Rhinolophus ferrumequinum: one gene and its partners. The protein of the gene in region 1 interacts with the protein of each later gene in a biochemical or structural test. Links are inferred from orthologs where the notes say so. Each region holds a gene or a part of one and is shown in the gene's direction. Other genes may lie near its edges.

What was found.
Region 2: the proteins of MSN (region 1) and SPN form a complex in vitro, tested with the Homo sapiens proteins (2 studies listed by BioGRID). The link is inferred for Rhinolophus ferrumequinum from reciprocal best matches to the Homo sapiens genes MSN and SPN.
Region 3: the proteins of MSN (region 1) and ICAM3 form a complex in vitro, tested with the Homo sapiens proteins (2 studies listed by BioGRID). The link is inferred for Rhinolophus ferrumequinum from reciprocal best matches to the Homo sapiens genes MSN and ICAM3.

What each region holds. Positions count from the first base shown.
Region 1 is NC_046284.1:79,399,593-79,403,339, forward strand, and holds the start of MSN (moesin), read left to right. Parts: upstream 1-1,226; 5' UTR 1,227-1,459; coding exon 1,460-1,471; intron 1,472-3,747. UniProt on the Homo sapiens protein: Ezrin-radixin-moesin (ERM) family protein that connects the actin cytoskeleton to the plasma membrane and thereby regulates the structure and function of specific domains of the cell cortex.
Region 2 is NW_022680357.1:784,440-788,186, forward strand, and holds the start of SPN (leukosialin), read left to right. Parts: upstream 1-1,427; 5' UTR 1,428-1,568; intron 1,569-1,956; 5' UTR 1,957-1,972; coding exon 1,973-3,262; 3' UTR 3,263-3,747. UniProt on the Homo sapiens protein: Predominant cell surface sialoprotein of leukocytes which regulates multiple T-cell functions, including T-cell activation, proliferation, differentiation, trafficking and migration.
Region 3 is NC_046301.1:39,903,688-39,907,434, forward strand, and holds the start of ICAM3 (intercellular adhesion molecule 3), read left to right. Parts: upstream 1-1,194; 5' UTR 1,195-1,344; coding exon 1,345-1,555; intron 1,556-2,105; coding exon 2,106-2,372; intron 2,373-3,747. UniProt on the Homo sapiens protein: ICAM proteins are ligands for the leukocyte adhesion protein LFA-1 (integrin alpha-L/beta-2). ICAM3 is also a ligand for integrin alpha-D/beta-2. In association with integrin alpha-L/beta-2, contributes to apoptotic neutrophil phagocytosis by macrophages.

The sequences.
Region 1 (3,747 bases):
AGAGTGGGAAAGGACCTTGGAAACCCAGGAGTCTGACCCTTTCTTGTTATAGAAGGGGAAACTCAAGCCCAAAGAGGGGAAGGGACTTACCCAAGGCCACACAGTGGTCACAGAATGAGTTAATAGCAAAGCTAGGAGTAGAAGCCAGGTGTCCTGACCACTCCTCAAATATCCTTTCCACTGCCCCAAGTTGGCTTATCATCCCTGATGTATGTGGTGCTCTACCTCACAAAGAATATTCAGAACAGTTGCCAGTTGACAGGAGAAAAAATGACTATGGCCAGCCACTTTCAAACTAAAACTCAGACTTAAGCAGGTAACTGCTACGGTCTAGAACACTGCTGTCCTGGGATTTTGTGACCTTGACAAGAAGTAGAAAGGGTGCTGGCAGACACATCCCAAGGGAGTGGACTGGGAGTACCTCTAACCTGGGGGGATTATAACCTTATCAGAAAGTGAATGCCATAAATCAGTGAATGTGTTGGGGGGAGGGCTAAAGGATCAAGACATTGATTTGAAGAAGGTGGAGATTGGGATTTAAAGAAAGGAAAGTAGTAGAGGACAGATATGGGGAAAAGGAGCCCAGTTCTGATGAAAATGAGGATTAAGCAAGGGTAGGGAGGAAATAACAATGGGGAAAGGGATATAGAGGCCTACAGAAGAGAACTGATGAAGTGTTGGAGGAATTGAGGCGGTTTAGCCAAGAGAAGAAAATTTTCAGGGGGACAGGAGATCTTCAAACCTCTGGGGAGTTATGAGGGACAGCAGGGGATTTGAGTGGCCCCAGGGATCAGATGTAAGATCCACAGGTGGAAGCCACAGAGAAAAGGAGTTCAGATACACACAGGAAGAACATTCTAAGAGTCAGAGGTATCTTGATAGGGAACGGGCAGTTTTGATCGGTAGCGAGCTCCCCATCAGTGGAAAGCTGCAGTCAGGGGCTGCTTAAGTCTTTGCCAGGGTGCAGCCCAGGGTGCGGCCTAGGGTCCGGCCCTGTTTGGGGGTGGGGCCGCAGGGCCCGGATTGCCCAGATGCAGAGGTCTAGGGGGTGTGAAGTGGGTGGGAGAGGAGCAGGGTGGGTATGGATTGGGGCGGGGAGTCCCACTTGGGGCGCCCAGGCCCAGTCCAGCACCCACGTGGTTTGTGTGGCCGGCCTGGGCAGGGCTGGACTGGGCGGAGCGAGGCAAGCGGACAGCAAGGAGGCGGGCGCGAGGGCGGGGAGCGGCGCGGAAGCCCGGCCACATAAAGGAGCTGGCGGCGCGACGGGGGCGGCTCTTTCCTGGGTGGGGTTTGTGAAGTCGTGGCCCGTTAGCAGGAAGCCCAGCAGTCGCCCCGACTCTAGTGAGGGACCCAATCCGAGCCCCCAGCCCCCGGAGTCCGAGCGGTGTGTACCGTGTGCTCAGCGCTGCCTCACAGCTCCGAGCCAAACTTCGCCAACTCCGCCGCCTTTGCCGCCACCATGCCCAAGACGGTGAGTGTCCGGGGTGGGCGCTGCCGGCCCCAGGGTCTCTAGCTGACCCTTGTAGCCCCTTGATGATGGCTGGGGACTTGGCCAGCTACCCGCCGTCTCGGGACGCCGCGCCCTACGCCAGGGCCTGTGGTCGGGAGGGGCAGGAGTGGAGTCCTGGTATGGCGCGCCCTCGGGGGGTGGAAGGCTTGAGGTGGTCCCGAGCAAGAAGTGTGGACTGGGCGGGGCTGTTATGGTTCTCACATTCCAGTTCCCTACATCTGGGATGCGACCTTTGAGAAGGCTTCCTTGGGGGCCCAAGTTCTCTTGTCCCTGACAGGCCATGGGAGTGGGGGAGAAGACTCTGGTCCGAAGGAGAACAAGTCCCCCAGACCTGAAATTGGCGCCGTTCTGAAGCAAGGCTGTCACTGTCCAGGAGGGGCCATGGGAACCAAGAATCAAGGTGGAAGGAGGGAGATCCTAAGGGCGGATCCCGCACCCCCACTCACCTTCCCCACAGCCTCCCCAGGCGCCTCCAGCTGTTTCCCACTGGTGGGGGGGGGGTAGGAGAGAGTTGTGGAAGGACTCATTGAGGCTGCTTGCTTTTACCCAAGTGCACTAACACTTCACTAGGCACCAATCTGAAGGGAGGTCTGCCCAACCACCTAGGGGAGAGGACTGGGTTCTTCGTCCTCTCCACTCGCCAAATCCCTGCTCTTCCCATTACTTAATGACTCTCTATCTCCTCCTATCCCCTCCGGACTGTTCTGTGAGGTGTGGATTCTTTCCTGTTGGGCCACACCTTTCTAGAGTGGTGGTAGCTTCTAGGATCTGGTCTCTAACCCACTGGCTGTTATGAGAAGAGCAGAAGCCTCCTGGGAGTGGGGCCTAGGGGGGCCGGATGCCCAGGAGGGTGGGGTGGGGGAGGAGTGTGCCTGAATAATGAGCCTGCTTGCTTTTGTGCAAGTCATGCCAAATGGCTGCTGGGGCCCTTCCCTTGCCCAGGAAGGCCTGGTGACCACCTTGGTTTGAGTCCCTTAGGCCAAGCAGCTTGTTGGACTGGACTAGGCTTTGCAGTTCTCCCAGAACCCTCTCTAGGACTGCCTGAGCCTTGTAGAGCTGAGATAGTGACTAGTAGCCTTGAGAAGGGCTGGGGGTCTCTGGATGAGAGGAGTCAGGATCCAGTTCTTTGGGTGTGTGCTGAGCTTTGGTTGCCAGGTTGCTGTATTCCAGCCTTATTGCCAAGTCATTCTTGCCTTTTCGAACCTTGTCCTTCAGAAGCACTAAGTTTTCCACAAGTATGTGCTTCTATCTCTCTTTTAAATTGTTGGTTTTACGCCATGGGGCTTTTCCACACTTACCCTCCCACCCCCAGGAGCCTCTCCTTGGGTTTATCCCTGTGGTTGACTCTTTCACTCCTCTTAAGGTATAGAAGGGCCTAAATAGGTGGGTGGATCTCTGGGAATAGACTGCCCATGACTTCTCTTCTCTAGTGGAATCTCTCATTTTCAATTCTGAGTTCTCTCACATTTAAACACAACTTGATGGGTCTGGAAATTGTCTCAAAGGGGCCTTAACCATTCCATCTAAGTCAAAAATGGCAAAGATGGTAGCATGGTGATCTTTATCCTGGGTATGGAGAGAGACTGGAGTATGGGCTGTTTGATGCTAAGCCTAGGGTACTGAATGTACCTGAATACTGAAGGCATTTTTATGCAGATTGACAGAAACTTGAATCAAGTTGGAAGGAGAGGGCTGAATTTTGATAGACTGGAAGATTTGGAGAATTTCCCATGCTGTTTGGCTCAAGGAATGATAAACTTCTAGGAGAAACAACTATATCATGCCTGTTAAGACCATAAAATCTTAACTTGAAAGGGACCTCAGAGACTATTGATCTAATACCTCGCTCTCTTTCAACTAATGAAGGTAGTTAGGCCTATAGGGAGGACCTACCTAAGATCACATGGTGACAATCAAGATTGGGGTTTAGGCTTTTTGATGCTCATCACATTGACCCTGTATTCTGACTCAATGATTAGGTTCTTGAGGTGGAGTCCCCTTTTCTGCCCAAAGCAAGTTGTCCCCTGTTCTCAAGACTTCCTGGTCCTCAGATAAAAGGGAGTGGATAATTTGGGCAAAGTAACCAATGTTGGCATTTGTGTGGTCTCTTGGTGAGAGTTGGGAGTATCACAAGGTGCCTCCTGTTTTCTCATTTCTTATCTCAATGCTGAGGTGTCCAGGGGCACACCCTAGTTCACTGCATATCAGCTAGTAGCTTTAATGAAGGGAGAAAATTC
Region 2 (3,747 bases), on another chromosome or scaffold:
TGACAATGGAATGCTTTCCTTCCTTCCTTTCTCTCTCTCTCTCTCTCTCCTTTTTCTCCCTCCCTCTCTCCCTCTCTCCTTCCTTTGTTAGTTTAGTTAAAAAAACGAACAGTGCAGAAGAGTATACATCATAAAATCTACGCAGTACAGTGAAATACATGCATGTGTAAACACAGACGAATTACAGATGTGCGTGCGCCGGTAGCGGTGTGGAGCTTTTTCATTTTACACCCTCCCGACTGTTGGAGGTGCCATCCCTGCATACTGCTGCTGCTATGCCAAGCACGCAAAGTCCTGCCCAGTGTGTACCCAGGCCATTTCTCAGGGCTGTGTTTGCAGTGTGTCACTGAGGGTGACACACTGGGGTCTCCCTTTAGGACAAAGCAGGCTTGTGGACCAGCTGCTCGGAAAGAGGAAAATTCCCCGAGCTCAGTGTTCTTCAGTTTGTGGGGCACGCCTGTGTGTGACACCCTGTGGGACTTGAGGGCCAGGGGAGCTGATGCAGACATAACACCCCTGCTGCTGGTTGTGCGGTGACTAACGGATTCCGGAGTCTCTGACCCAGGAGTCTCATGTCTTTGTGTCAGATTCGCTTGTCAGCTTGTGTGTGGGATACGATCTCAGTCGTTTCCATCACCTACCATGAACATTTATGATTACTTTTAATTACTTTTAATCAGTTTGGATTATTTGAAAAGAGAGGCAAAAAACCAAAACCATACACACACTAAAACTCAAAGCTTACAAATTAGAGGAAAGTCCGAAAACAAAGAAGACAATAAAGAACCTCTCCTCATAGCTGCCCTGAGAAACTTGGTTAATCCCTCAGGGGGTACCTTGCCAGACTGCTGTCCATACAGAGTCCCACATCTTTGTTAGTCTTCTGCAAAAATAAGATATAGTGTGAACTGCTTAGCAACCACATTGATTTCGTTAAGCACCCCACAACTGGGGACCACTGTGGTGACCTCTCCGCTTCTTCATAAATCCTCAAGACCTTATCAGGGATCTCTTGCAGCTTGCAAAGGCTTTCATTGCCCCCAGCACAATTCGGGGCTTCCTCTTGCACTAGTACTTCCTGGGAGCTCTTGGGACAAGAAATCGTGCCACCCTGGGTCCTGGCCTAACAGCTTGGGGTCTACAAATACAAAGGAAACCACCCTCCCCTCCCATTTCCTCCCCTGTACCCCCTAGATCTCAAGAGCATGTTCCCATCACCTAGGCTTTGATCCCCTTCCCGATCCCAGCTTCACCTCTTGCCATCCCATGTCCCAGCTAAGACTCAGGAATCCCCATTCCAGACTCCCTGCTCCCCCACGCCCAACTGCCTCAGCTGAGACCCCATAGCCCCTGGTACCATCCCAGACCCCGGAAAGAGTAAGTGATGGCGCTCTCATCATAGCAGCTGTAGGAACAGGGCGGGGCGGGCAGGATGCTGGGGTGGGGGGGGAAGGGTGGAGCCAGGGCCACTTCCTTTCCCCTTGGGGCCCGTTTGCCCAGTCCTGCCCCAGCCTCAGGAGGAGTTAGAGCGGCCTGGCCCCAGCCCTGTGCCCTTATCAAGTGAGCTGGTAAGGGGGTGTGACTTGGGGGGCAGGGGTCTCAGCAGACCCGGGAATGTGCCTAAGGCTTGAAAAGACTCTGAAAGATGATGGGAAAAGAGGATCAGGAGCCACTGGGGCTGAATGGGATCAGGGGAGACCAGGAAGGGAGGTGCTGCTGGAGTGCCAGCTGCCAAGGCCACAGGGGTCTATGGGATAGAGCTGACGGGAGAGCTGCCAGCATCGGTTCCCTTGCTATTTCTGATAATATAAAAGCAAGGGTGGAAAAAGCTGTTAAACCGCAGGTTAGGTCTGGCAGTTGGCAGGGAAGTGGGCAGGAGGGAAGGGCCTGGTCAGGTTCTCCCCCTCCCCCTCCAGGCTCCTTATATGTCCCATTTCTCCAACTTCCACACCTCAGATCCTGCCTCCTGCTCATGCCTGTGGTCATGAAAATGACTCTGCTTCTTCTCCTCTTTGGGAGTGTCTGGGCCGAAGATCTGGACATGACTCCATCCACACAGCCCACTCTTCCTGGGGTCTCAGCTACGCATCAGACCCTAACTCCTAACTCAATGACCTCCCACCATACAGTAACAAGCGTCCTTGGGGAAAATAACCAGATCACGCATCAGGTCATCACACCTCGCCATGCAACCAGTGACACGTCCTTTCTTGAGACTTCTACTGCTAACAGCTATGGCCCCTCCTTATCTGAGCCAGCAATCTCCCCGGAACCTCTCACCAACAAATCAATGGTCCAGGACATCTCTACTAAAACCAGTAACCCTGCTGTCCTAGCAGTGTCTGCTTCGGGAGGCTTCAATATGACTGGTGGAACCAACGCAACTAGATCTCTGGAGGCATCCAATGGGACCAATGAATCCACTGTCGCCATGGCAACTGCATCTCCAGAGGCATCCAGTGGAACCACTGGATCCACTGTCGCCATGGCAACTGGCTCTCTGGAGACATCCAATGGAACTGGATCCATTGTGACTACGATAGCTGGACCTCTGGAGTCCTCCAGAGGGACCATTGGACCCTCTGTCATCATGACAAGTAGCTCTCTGGAGACTTCTGATGGGACCAGTGAACCACCTATCACCATGGTAACTAGAACAGTAGAGATCTCCAAAGGGACCAGTGGACTCCCTGTCACCATGACAACTAGCTCTCCGAAGACCCCCAAGGGGACCAGTGGCTCCCCCATCTCCCCCATCTCCACGGTAGAAATATCCACCATACCTACCTCAGAGCCCCTAGGTTCATATAAGGGGACAAAAAACACCCTGCTGATGGCTGTGCTTGTGGCCATGCTGGTGGTGATTGTCCTCCTGGCATTACTCCTGCTCTGGCGCCAGCGGCAGAAGCGGAGGACCGGGGCACTGACGCTAAGCAGAGGTGCAAAGCGCAACGGGGTGGTAGATGCCTGGGTGGGGCCCGCCCCGGTGTCTGATGAGGAGGCTGTGATAACAACAGTGGGAGTGTCCGGTGGTGACAAGGGCTCTGGCGTCCCCGGCGAGGGTTCTGGCCGGCGGCCCACGCTCACCACTTTCTTTGGTCGAAGGAAGTCTCGCCAGGGCTCCTTGGCCCTGGAAGAGCTCAAAGCTGGGTCAGCCTCCAGCATAAAGGGGGAAGAAGAGCCTCTGGTGGGCAGTGAGGATGAGGTTCTGGAGTCCCCCATTTCTGATGGGCCAGAAGCGGGAGACGCGGAAGTCGTTTAGAGCCCGTGAACACCAAGCCTGGCGGTCAGAATCATTTCTCGCTTTCATCACCATCCTTCTAATCTTCACTCCAAGCTCATCATCTCTCAGCATCCTCACTCGGAATCCTCATCCCCCCTCTTAACCTGGGAACCCCCAGCAGCCCCCACACCCAACACGGGCCCCCAGCCCCGAAGCCAGGGCCTGCACCCACGGGAACAGCCTCATCAACCCAACTTCTCTCCATCACATTTTGGCCGATGTTTTTATCCTTGAAACCGGATGTTTGGTCTCCATAATGCCATCCTTCCTTGACTTACAATTTCTCAGAGGATTCCCCCAGGAACAGCAGAATCTGGGAAGAAGAAGGAAAGGACCAGCCAGCAAACTCCCACTTAGGATTACTCTGAAAAGCACATTTGACCCCATAGGTTAGGACAATCCTACCATGTTTCCCCGAAAATAAGACCTAGCCGGACAATCAGCTCTAGTGCGTCTTTTGGAGC
Region 3 (3,747 bases), on another chromosome or scaffold:
AGATGGCCTCAGGGATGGTGAGAATCAATGAATACTAGGTGCCATGAAGGTCCCTCTCTGGTGCTCATTAGTGGAAAAGGAGGCAGGTTGGAGGCCCAAGAGATGCAGCAGATGGAGGTGGGAGTGGCCACCTGACACCACCATCACCACCCCCTCCACCCCCACCCTCACCCCCACTACTGCTGTTCCCAGTCCCTTTCCTAGAGATGAAGAGACCAGCTGCCTAGAGGTGAGGGCAAGGGGGACAGGGATAAGGGATAGTTACAAGTGCATCCTTGACACACGGTGGCTCAGGATTGATCTGTGTCCCAAACACCCCACCTCAGCATCGTGCACAGGGAATGGGGGGATCTCCGTGGAGATTCCCACCAAAATCTTCAGTGGTAAAGGGCCCTACAGGAGCCATTCTGGAAGCCAATACAGAGCCTCGCACAAGTGCCCAATAAATGTGGGCTCTGTTCATTTTCATGGCTTCATTCATCTTAGGGGGTCCCTCTTTTTTTTTTTTTAAGATTTTATTGAGGAAGGGGAACAGGACTTTATTGGGGAACAGTTGTACATCCAGGACTTTTTTCCAAGTCAAGTTGTCCTTTCAGTCTTAGTTGTGGAGGGTGCAGCTCACATCCAGGTCCAGTTGCCCTTGCTAGTTGCAGGGGGCGCGCCCCACCATCCCGTGCGGGACTCAAGGAATCACACCGGCAACCTTGTGGTTGAGAGGACACGCTCCAACCAACTGAGCCATCCGGGAGCTCAGCAGCAGCTCAGCTCAAGGTGCTGTGTTCAATCTTAGTTGCAGGGGGCGGAGCCCACCATCCCTTGGGGGACTCAAGGAGTTGAACTGGCAGCCTTGTGGTTGAGAGCCCACTGGCCCATGTGGGAATCAAACCGGCAGCCTTCAGAGTTAGGAGCATGGAACTCCAACCGCCTGAGCCACCGGGCTGGCCCAGGGGTCCCTCTTTATGCCCTCCAAGAATGTTGAGATCTCACACTAATCTCTCGAGGCCCTGCCTAGAAGTCCCTGCATCATCCCCTTGAAATGTTGCCTTGAAATCACTCTTTATCACTTCAAGGACGGTGTCTGGAGGTCCCCCCCATTAACTTCCTCTAAGGTCAGCAGAAAGGAGGTATTTCACCCCCCTCCACCTAGACTTCCTAGTACTGAGAACAAAGGAAGATGACTGTGTTAGTATTTCCTGTAGGTTTAGAGCGGGCAAATGAGGTCCGCCTTGTCAGATATTCGCCAGTGCCCTCCCGTCTCATCTCGCAGGGCCCCACTTGGGCCCCCCACGCTGGACCTTCGGGGTTACAGAGGATCCTCCCTGCCCCTCCCCAGGCTTGGGCAAGATGCAACCCCTGGATTTATACAATCTTAACTGCTGTGGCTGTGTTTCCGTATTCCTGGGTGGCCCCGCCTGCTCCCCACTGCCCTGCCCACTGCTACATTACAGCACCTTCCTCCACAGGTTGGCCACCATGGTGCCCTTGGGGCCACTGCACGGGGCCTGCTGCACTCTGCTCATCTCCCTGCTTCTGGGTTGCTGTCTGCTGCCCCCAGGTAAGGTGACCGGGGTAGGAAGGGGTGTATTGGGGGACTGGTAGAGGGTGAAGAAAACAAAGCTCTCACATCCTGTTGCTGTGGTTCACTTCAACCTGTATCTGACGGGGTTCACCAGTGTCCTGGAGACAAAGTTTATGGCTCCTTCACTCAGCTTTCAGGGCTCCCTGAGGCCTCATCCCTGCATGTGGTTTGTCCCTCCACCCCAACTCTCTCTGTTCCATCTGTTCCCTTGACCTTTGCCTATTCTCTTCCCTCTGTCAGGATCACTTTTCCCTTTCACTTGGCTGATTCCTACTTACCTACCCTCAAAAGTGGCCATAGTCGTCTCTTTCAGGAAGTTTCCTTGACTCACTTCCTCCTCTAGGCTCCTATGGATCTCCCTCCAAGCTCTCCCCTACACTTGATCTATCACCTGCCTTCCCCACTGAACTGGAAGCACTATGAAGGCAGAGACCATTGTTCCAAGGAGGTGATGGATGGTGGGGCCTGAAGATGGCTGGGCTGGGGGCACCAGGTCAACCAGCAGAGCTTCCCCTTGTTCCCGTAGGTATCCAGGGGCAGGAGTACCTGCTGCGGGTGGAGCCCCAGGACCCAGTTATACCTGCCAGAGGATCCCTCTTGGTAAACTGCAGTACTGATTGCCCCGACCCTGAACTCATCACCCTGGAGACGTCCCTATTGAAGGAGCTAGTGAGCCGTGGCCCAAACTGGGTGGCCTTCCAGCTCAGCAATGTGACTGCTGACAGCAAGGTCCTCTGCGCTAGCTTCTGCAATGGCTCCCAGATGACAAGCTCCTCTGATATCACAGTGTACCGTGAGTGGATGTGTCTGGAGGTGGGCCTGGTCTCAAGCAATGGTGGGGGTAGATGGGCAATGGCCCTGAGTTTGCAGGAATGGACCAGGCCTCTCTCTGACCCAGAGCTTGGACCTGGACTTGCATGTGTGTGTGTGTGTGACACACACACACACACACACACACACACACACGGCAGAGACAAAGATACATCTCAACCACATGCCAGGCAGCAATGTGAAATCTATTTATTTAGATCCCAGCAAACATTTAAAAACTGATAGCTCATGCCTTTTATTTATTACTTATATTTTATGGCAGGTAATAAATTAAGGGGGTTCCCAAATCAGAAAGTATAAAAAGGTATAAATGTCAAGTCTCCATTTACCTAGTGCTGCTGCCAATGGCCAGTTTCAAGTGTTCACACCCACTGAGGTGCTCATTCAAGCCTTAAAAAAGCCCCAGGGCAGGGGGTGGAGTGGGGTGTGTGGGGGGTGCACTTATGAGCCTCATTTCACAGCTAAGGAGACTGAGGCTCAGTGGGGTGCAGTCACTTGCCACGGTTCACAGCCCGTGAGCAGATAGGCCGGCAGTGCGGCTCCCAAGTCCCTGTTCTTAACAGGTGACATCTTCCTCCCCAGACCGTGCATCCCCCTGGTACTGGTTTCTTGTGCATCCTTCCAAGAGTTTCTCTGCATTTAAACTACAACAGACTAGAAAATAGCTGAGAATATCACTCATAGGGCCTACCATTTTGTGAAGTCTTTACAGATTAGTGTATGTGTGTAACTGTGTAAGCTCCTGTGTGGACACTAGTGTCCATATGCACCTGTGTATCTACATGTGGGTCCGTGAGTATATATGTCATTATGTGTCTGTGCCAGTGTACACGTATGTCTGTGTGTACCCGTCTTTATCTCCGTGAGTAACTGTCAGTATCCGTGCCCGTGTGCAGATCTGTGTGTGAGCATGTGTCTGTGTGTGACTGTATGCGGATGTCTGTGTCAGTATGTGTCTATGTATACGTCTTCATATGTGTATTTCCGTGTAATGTGTGTATTTGTGTGTCCCTCACTCTGTGTGTCTGTGAGGTACTTCTGTTAAATACTATGTAGGAGCCTGTTGGTCCTGGCTCATGAGATCTGACTGCTCATCTCTTCCCTTGTCTCACATTGGGTAGCTTGACATCAGCCTTAGCGGGAATATTTACACCACAGAAATTGGCAAATGCTCGCTATTGGGGCTCCCCGAGCTCTGAGAGCCCAAGCATTACCAGCATACCACTATCCCTAACCAATGGTGCCCGAGGTTAAGATGGAGACCTCCTTGTTAAATATTCTAAAATTGTAAAGAATAAGATGTTAAATATTTTTCAGAACAGCCAGTCCATGAGCCT